Xenopus tropicalis: one gene and its partner. The protein of the gene in region 1 interacts with the protein of each later gene in a biochemical or structural test. Links are inferred from orthologs where the notes say so. Each region holds a gene or a part of one and is shown in the gene's direction. Other genes may lie near its edges. The genes, in order: mmp2 and timp4.

Region 1 (3,827 bases):
TGGCCAATTCTAAGCAATTTTTCAATAGGTCTTCCTTATTTTTTTATAGTTTTTAAATTATTTGCTTTCCTCTCCAGCTTTCAAATGGGGGTCACTGACCCCAGAAGCCAAAAATGGTTGCTCTGTAAGGCTACAATTTTACTGTTGTTTCTTTCTTTTTATTACTTTTTTTTTATTTAGATTTTCGCCTATTCATATTGCATTCTCTCATTATAACCACTCCCTGGTTGCTAAGGAATTTGTACCCTAGCAACCAGTTAGTTGCTGAAATTCTAAACTGGAGAGCTGCTAAACAAAAACTGGAATCATTAAAAAACTAAAAAAAAAAATTTCAAAATTGTCTCAGAATATTGGTCTTCCCATCATACTTAACTTAACTCCAAAGTGAACAAGCGAAAAAATACTACATTACCTGATTTACCTACTTTACACCTTCTTCACACTGCAAAGACCCACATGGTGAAGGTCTTCTCAGCCTCCACTGCATTTCAAATACATTACCTTAGTAGAAGAAGTAAGAAAATTAGAGAAAATAACTCATGTAATACACAATAAATGTAAAGATTACTGGAATATATGGGAATCATGGCTCACCCTTATACAGGCCAGGAAAAATAAGGCCTCTCTCACATAAATGGAACTTCCACTTCCCCAAACTTAGAAACACAGGCCCTAGCCCAGAAATGAAGGAATATTAGATTTCAGGATTCAAAATACTGCTATGTAGTGTATAGATGTAAACTTGTTAAGTTGCTGATGTATGTTATAAGACTGTTTTCACCCTCTACCCCCCTCTTGCTTTCTTTAAACTTGAATATACATGAAAAAGATTACCAAAGTTGCAAGGTTGCAGGTTGTGACTTCAACATCAATACAGTGCATACAGATCATGGAAGTCATTTGCTAAATGTAGTGGTTTTTATGAAATGTTGCAAATGCTTGCATTTTACAGCATTTTATCTCCCACATGCCATTAGATACCAAGACAAAACATTATTATTAAGAATGCCAGGGGTCTTCTGAAAAGTTTGATGTCCAGTATATATAGTAGATAATACAACACTGTGGCATGCCAAAATGAAATATTCCTTCTGCATACAAATGTCACGACTTATATTTACTACAGCAAAATATATTTCTTGTTTAATTTCCTATTTACATTTTGCTTTATTAATTGATTTTAATTAAATCTTTGACAGATATCTCAAAGATTGGATTTTATAGTGTCTTATTTTCCATGTCATTAACTACCTAAATACAATATCATATATATATAAATGGCAGGGGTTTGATGCCAAGCATAGCATCTCCAAAGTATCTAGCATGTAGAGTACAGACCCCAAAATAAAAATAGTGAATATGCCTTTTTATGCCTGACACATTGAAATAAAAAATGGGTACACATCTCTTATTGTTCCAAAAATGCAAAACTATCCAAGGAGAAGAAAAGGTAAAATCTCTGGGTGTCAAAATGTTGTGCACCCCCTTAGTGATTGTAATTGCTTACCTTACTCCAGGTTGGTGCTCCTGGTGCAGTTTTCTCCTAACAGGGGCACCAGACAAGGGTATAAGGTGAGCAATTACAATCACTGGGGGGTGCCTAACATTAGAAAAAGTGATTAGGAAAAGAATGGGAAAGCCATAGGTTTTTAAACATTTTTTTTTTTTTAAAACATTTTTAACATTTTAGATATCTAATCTAAGTAAGCCTGTAAGCCTTGAAAACATTCTACCTTCTAGGTTCATATGCCCTCTACATACTAGGGGCAATAAATATATGGAGCACACACTTCACGGGGATATTTAATTTGATACATCAATATGATTCTTTCGTGTCAGTCACTGAACAGAATCAAATACATAATAACATAATAGGTTAGCTTGAAATAAGACACACGTCTATCAAGTTCAGCCTTTTACATCTTCATGAAACCTGCCAAATTGTTGATCCAGAGGAAGGCAAAAAAACCCTTCTGAAGTTTCTCCAATTCACCTCAAAGAGGGAAAAAATTCCTTTCTGGCTCCAAGATGGCAATCGGACAAGTCCCTGGATCAACTTGTAATAAGAGCTATTTTTAATAACCCTGTATTCCCTCACTTGCTAAAAAAACCATTCCAAACCTTCTTGAAGCTAACTAATGTATATCCCAGCAGTTTCTGCGTGTCTTTTTTCTGCTTAGTTAAAGCTAGTTTTTGTTTTTCCTGTGTTTAGCATATGAGCATAAAGCTTCTCATGCTGCAATGGTGTCCAGTAGGCACCAAAAAACTATATTTATAAATATATATATATATATAAAGTCAAATTGTGTGTCCGCACTCTAAACTAGTTTGGGTGCTAGGTCAAAACATGTAAATACATACAGGACCAGCACCAGGTCACATCAATATTTTCTCTTTATTCACTGTGGATCGCACAATTAACAATTAAATATATATAGTACACAGGGAGGAGCACACACACCCTATACAAGTCCAAATGCCCTTGGTGCAGGTCAAAAACAAAAATATTATAGAAAGAGTGCCGCACACACAGGGACTTGATACAAAAGAAAAAGTGTTTTTATTGAAATAAAATCCATTTTTTTCAATAAAAACACCTTTTTCTTTTGTATCGAGTCCCTGTAAGTGCAGCACTATTTCTATTTTTTATATATATATCTATATATATATACACATAGGTGGGGTTGTGGGAGCACTCCAAGGCTAAAAAAAGTATACAAATACAATGGTGCGACTGATCTGGCCAAATTAACTACAAGCATACAAAAAGGAGAGGAGGATTGATCAATGCACATTCCCTGGCCCCCCCTAAATTATCTATGCTAGTGCATGTATTTACAAAAAAACAGGGGTTTTTAGTTACAAAATTATGATCATAAGATTGGTAAGCCACCATATGTCAAGGTATATATAGGATAGAAAGTTCAAGTTAGATACATACCAGACAGAATGTTGTTCTGTAAAAATATATTTGGTCTTACTTACTGAATTTTTTTTTACAGCAATACCTAAATCAATTTTATGGCTGCCCTAAGGATAAATGTCACATGATGGTTCTTAAGGATGCCCTTAAGAAAATGCAAAAATTCTTTGGTCTTACTGAAACTGGGGAGTTTGATCAAAATACCATTGAAACCATGAAAAAGCCAAGATGTGGAAACCCTGATGTAGCCAACTACAACTTCTTCCCCAGAAAACCCAAATGGGACAAAAATCAGCTGACATACAGGCAAGTTTTTTTCTTTCCTATATATATATCTGTTAACATAGATTTGTATTTAATAATTCTGCTTTGCTTATTTTATTTTTAATTCCTAGGATTATTGGATACACAACAGATTTGGATTCTGAAACAGTTGATGATGCTTTTGCACGTGCTTTTAAAGTTTGGAGTGATGTCACACCACTGGAGTTTACCCGAATTCATGATGGAGAAGCAGATATCATGATCAATTTTGGACGATGGGGTATCATCTTATATGAAATAAAAATAAAAGGGCTCATTCAGGGCCACAAGTGCAAAGTGTAAAGTGCAATTTTGAGCACAAGTTGCCATTTCTTTTTACTAACAATACACAATTTTCCCCATAACACCAGCATGATTGTGTCTGCCAGGGGTAGTTGTACTTTGTCAGTTGCACTAATATGCTCACAATTGCACTTCAGTGTGATTTGGACAAAATTGTGCTGAAAAACAGCATCAAAGTAGCAGTAGCTCCAGGGTTCCCCTGCATCAATAGGACACTGCATGCAATTTATCTAAATAAACTGGTGGGGAGCATAGGTGTTATATGTCAAAACGCACAAGTTCAAGGTAATCTGGTCAC
Region 2 (4,533 bases), about 110 Mb from region 1:
GAGGTTCAGCTCAGGTCAGCGTTTCACCTGCACAAAGACTTCAGTGGGTTTGGGAACTTTCCAGAATCTTTGTATTAAGCCTCAGTATATGAAAGAGTTTCACTGTCTCGGCTTCTCCGGTAATACCCAGTCAGAACCCGACCTGAGACCGGCTCTGGGCCCCTGACTCCCTTCTGCAGAAACAGGGGCCCAACGTCCTCCCCCGAGTGTGTACATTGAACGCGTCAGGGGGAGCACCGGCAAGGGTCTTGTCCGGGCCGCCGAGGCCCATTAGAGTCGGGGCCCACCAGGATTTTTCCCAGTCCGACCCTGTACAGAACCATTTCCTTTCTCTTATATTTTCCCTGTCACTTTTATATTAACTGTTCAAATCATGCAGGCAGTGATATTCCCAGATGATTTGCAGTTGGTCTTCAGTATTTAGTTTTTTAGAATTTTTGTCTGGTTGCTAGGGTCCAGTTTGCCCTAGCAATATGGCAGCGGTGTGAATGAGACAATAAAAAGATGAGTTGCTGGGTCAGTGACCCCCATTAAAAGGTGGAATGGGGTAAGACAGAAAGGTAAATATTTTAAAAAAATGAAGACCAAGTGAACAGTTGCTACAAACAGGCCATTGTATGTGTGTATGTATGTGTGTATGTATGTATGTGTGCATGTATGTATGTATGTATGTGTGTATGTATGTATGTATGTGTGTATGTATGCATGTATGTATGTATGTATGTATGTATGTATGTGTGCATGTATGTATGTATGTATGTATGTGTGCATGTATGCATGTATGTATGTATGTATGTATGTATGTGTGCATGTATGTATGTATGTATAACTTTATTTATAAAGCGCCACAAGGGTACGCAGCGCTGTATAATCTTACAAAATACAAAATTACATACAGGGAGGACAAGTGTTATAATAAATAAATACAATAAATATTAATGCACAGGGAATAAGTGCCATGTGGTATGAGACACAGTAGGAAGGAGGTCCCTGCCCCGTAGAGCTTACAATCTAAGTATAAAATACTAACAGTTAATGTCACTGGAAACTACTGCCTCAGGGCAATGAGAAACAAAACACATTGTTGCCAAGGGCAACAAGACGCCAGTATCGCTGCAGCTTTAACTGCACCCCCATGTTAGTGCCTAAGGATGCACATTGTAGTGCAGGGAGACCCGCAGGGGAGAAGGGTAATGTGCATAAGATGAAAGGTGCTGGGAGTTGTGCAGGACACATGAATTTTGAAGAATTTTATATAATAGTCCCCCAACTAAACTAGAGATTAGTTTTAACTAAACCAGAGCCTCCTCTGTGACTTCTAATAGCCTTATAAATGGCAATATGGGGGAGATTATCCTCTCTGTGTGTGTTCAAAATAAAGATCTAAATGATCATTTGCCACCTTTCAGCAGGATGCTGGGAGCTGAGTGCTAAAGCTAGGAGGGAATTCTGGGACTTGTAGTCCAGCAATAGCTAAAGAGCAGCTTCAGCGGGTGAATGTTCTTATGTGAGTGAACAAAGGGTTTGTGTTGCCCCTAGCACTAAGAAAACTACATTTGCCAAGAAGTGTTGAATAGAATTACTAGCGGGGAGTGATTGGCACCCTGGCTGTGCCCTCTGATTGGTGCACAGGGCTCCCCGAGGGAGGGGCTAGAGAGCTGAAGCCATAAGAAAAAGAAGGTTTTATGTAGCACAAATTAGAAGTCAGGGAGCATCAGGCTGGAGCGGCCGCAGCACTGAGGGACCTTCCCAGCCAAGCTGACATTGTCTCTGGGGGGACGCGGGAGGGAACTGCCCCAGCACTGGATGTGGCCACTATGGGAGCCTCATTGCCCAGCTTGTGGCTTGCACTCCTTTTAACCCTTGGAGCACCTGAGTCAGTGAGAGGCTGTACCTGTGCCCCTTCCCACCCACAGGAACAGATCTGCGATGCGGCAATTGGTGAGTTAACTACAATTAAACTGAATATCACTTGTTCCCAGCAAGAATGATGAAGATGATTGGGAAGGTGCAGCCTAAATTAACTTTTAGTGTAATGTTGGTCTTTCTTTTCTATGTTTTGGGTTTTAAATAAGGAACAGCAATGTGGTTGCTATGGACACTGACCTCAGCAACATAGCAGGAGACTGGAGAGGTATTGAGCAGATATATAATAAGATGATGGTAAGATAGATATCTGTATAACTCTGTCTAAATTTTAAGGCTAAGACCCCCCCCCCCCTTCCATTTAAACAAGAAGTATATCATGACTGTAAGATTTGTGCTGTTTTGTTTGTGTGGATTTTCCCAGGCTGTCAGAACCAGAACCGGATTCTGGAGAAATAACTAGGAATAAAACTCAGTGACAGAAGCTGAACTTTGCTCAGACCAACCCATCCTCTCTTCTGTGTGATAATCAATATCAGAACTAAATAACCCAAACTCCAGAGGATCTGGGTGCTGGGGATTATACTGGTACTAGAGAACTAGTTCTGTCTGAGCCAATGGGCTGGGGATTATACTGGTACTGGAGAACTAATTCTGCTGAGCCAATGGGTTGGGGATTATACTGGTACTGGGGAACTAGTTCTGTCTGAGCCAATGGGTTGGGGATTATACTGGTACTGGAGAACTAGTTCTGTCTGAGCCAATGGGTTGGGGATTATACTGGTACTGGAGAACTAGTTCTGTCTGAGCCAATGGGCTGGGGATTATACTGGTACTGGAAAACTAGTTCTGCTGAGCCAATGGGCTGGGGATTATACTGGTACTGGAAAACTAGTTCTGCTGAGCCAATGGGCTGGGGATTATACTGGTACTGGAGAACTAATTCTACTGAGCCAATGGGTTGGGGATTATACTGGTACTGGAGAACTAGTTCTGTCTGAGCCAATGGGTTGGGGATTATACTGGTACTGGAGAACTAATTCTGCTGAGCCAATGGGTTGGGGATTATACTGGTACTGGAGAACTAGTTCTGTCTGAGCCAATGGGTTGGGGATTATACTGGTACTGGAGAACTAGTTCTGTCTGAGCCAATGGGCTGGGGATTATACTGGTACTGGAAAACTAGTTCTGCTGAGCCAATGGGCTGGGGATTATACTGGTACTGGAGAACTAATTCTGCTGAGCCAATGGGTTGGGGATTATACTGGTACTGGAGAACTAGTTCTGTCTGAGCCAATGGGTTGGGGATTATACTGGTACTGGTGAACTAATTCTGCTGAGCCAATGGGTTGGGGATTATACTGGTACTGGAGAACTAATTCTACTGAGCCAATGGGTTGGGGATTATACTGGTACTGGAGAACTAGTTCTGTCTGAGCCAATGGGTTGGGGATTATACTGGTACTGGAGAACTAATTCTGCTGAGCCAATGGGTTGGGGATTATACTGGTACTGGAGAACTAGTTCTGTCTGAGCCAATGGGTTGGGGATTATACTGGTACTGGAGAACTAGTTCTGTCTGAGCCAATGGGTTGGGGATTATACTGGTACTGGAGAACTAGTTCTGTCTGAGCCAATGGGCTGGGGATTATACTGGTACTGGAAAACTAGTTCTGCTGAGCCAATGGGCTGGGGATTATACTGGTACTGGAGAACTAATTCTGCTGAGCCAATGGGTTGGGGATTATACTGGTACTGGAGAACTAGTTCTGTCTGAGCCAATGGGTTGGGGATTATACTGGTACTGGTGAACTAATTCTGCTGAGCCAATGGGTTGGGGATTATACTGGTACTGGAGAACTAGTTCTGTCTGAGCCAATGGGTTGGGGATTATACTGGTACTGGAGAACTAGTTCTGTCTGAGCCAATGGGCTGGGGATTATACTGGTACTGGAAAACTAGTTCTGCTGAGCCAATGGGCTGGGGATTATACTGGTACTGGAAAACTAGTTCTGCTGAGCCAGTGGGCTGGGGATTATACTGGTACTGGAAAACTAGTTCTGCTGAGCCAATGGGCTGGGGATTATACTGGTACTGGAAAACTAGTTCTGCTGAGCCAATGGGCTGGGGATTATACTGGTACTGGGGAACTAGTTCTGTCTGAGCCAAAGGGCTGGGGATTATACTGGTACTGGGGAACTAGTTCTGTCTGAGCCAAAGGGCTGGGGATTATACTGGTACTGGGGAACTAGTTCTGCTGAGCCAATGGGCTGGGGATTATACTGGTACTGGGGAACTAGTTCTGTCTGAGCCAATGGGCTGGGGATTATACTGGTACTGGGAATTAGCTCTGTCTGGGCAAATGGGCTGGGGATTATACTGGTACTGGGGAACTAGTTCTGTCTGAGCCAATGGGCTGGGGATTATACTGGTACTGGGAATTAGCTCTGTCTGGGCAAATGGGCTGGGGATTATACTGGTACTGGGGAACTAGTTCTGCTGAGCCAATGGGCTGGGGATTATACTGGTACTGGGGAACTAGTTCTGCTGAGCCAATGGGCTGGGGATTATACTGGTACTGGGAATTAGCTCTGTCTGGGCAAATGGGCTGGGGATTATACTGGTACTGGGGAACTAGTTCTGTCTGAGCCAATGGGCTGGGGATTA

Evidence for each region.
Region 2: the proteins of mmp2 (region 1) and timp4 form a complex in vitro, tested with the Homo sapiens proteins (2 studies listed by BioGRID). The link is inferred for Xenopus tropicalis from reciprocal best matches to the Homo sapiens genes MMP2 and TIMP4.

What each region holds. Positions count from the first base shown.
Region 1 is NC_030680.2:42,698,332-42,702,158, forward strand, and holds part of mmp2 (72 kDa type IV collagenase precursor), read left to right. Parts: intron 1-3,002; coding exon 3,003-3,229; intron 3,230-3,318; coding exon 3,319-3,467; intron 3,468-3,827.
Region 2 is NC_030680.2:151,124,750-151,129,282, forward strand, and holds the start of timp4 (metalloproteinase inhibitor 4), read left to right. Parts: upstream 1-1,684; 5' UTR 1,685-1,817; coding exon 1,818-1,941; intron 1,942-4,533. UniProt on the Homo sapiens protein: Complexes with metalloproteinases (such as collagenases) and irreversibly inactivates them by binding to their catalytic zinc cofactor. Known to act on MMP-1, MMP-2, MMP-3, MMP-7 and MMP-9.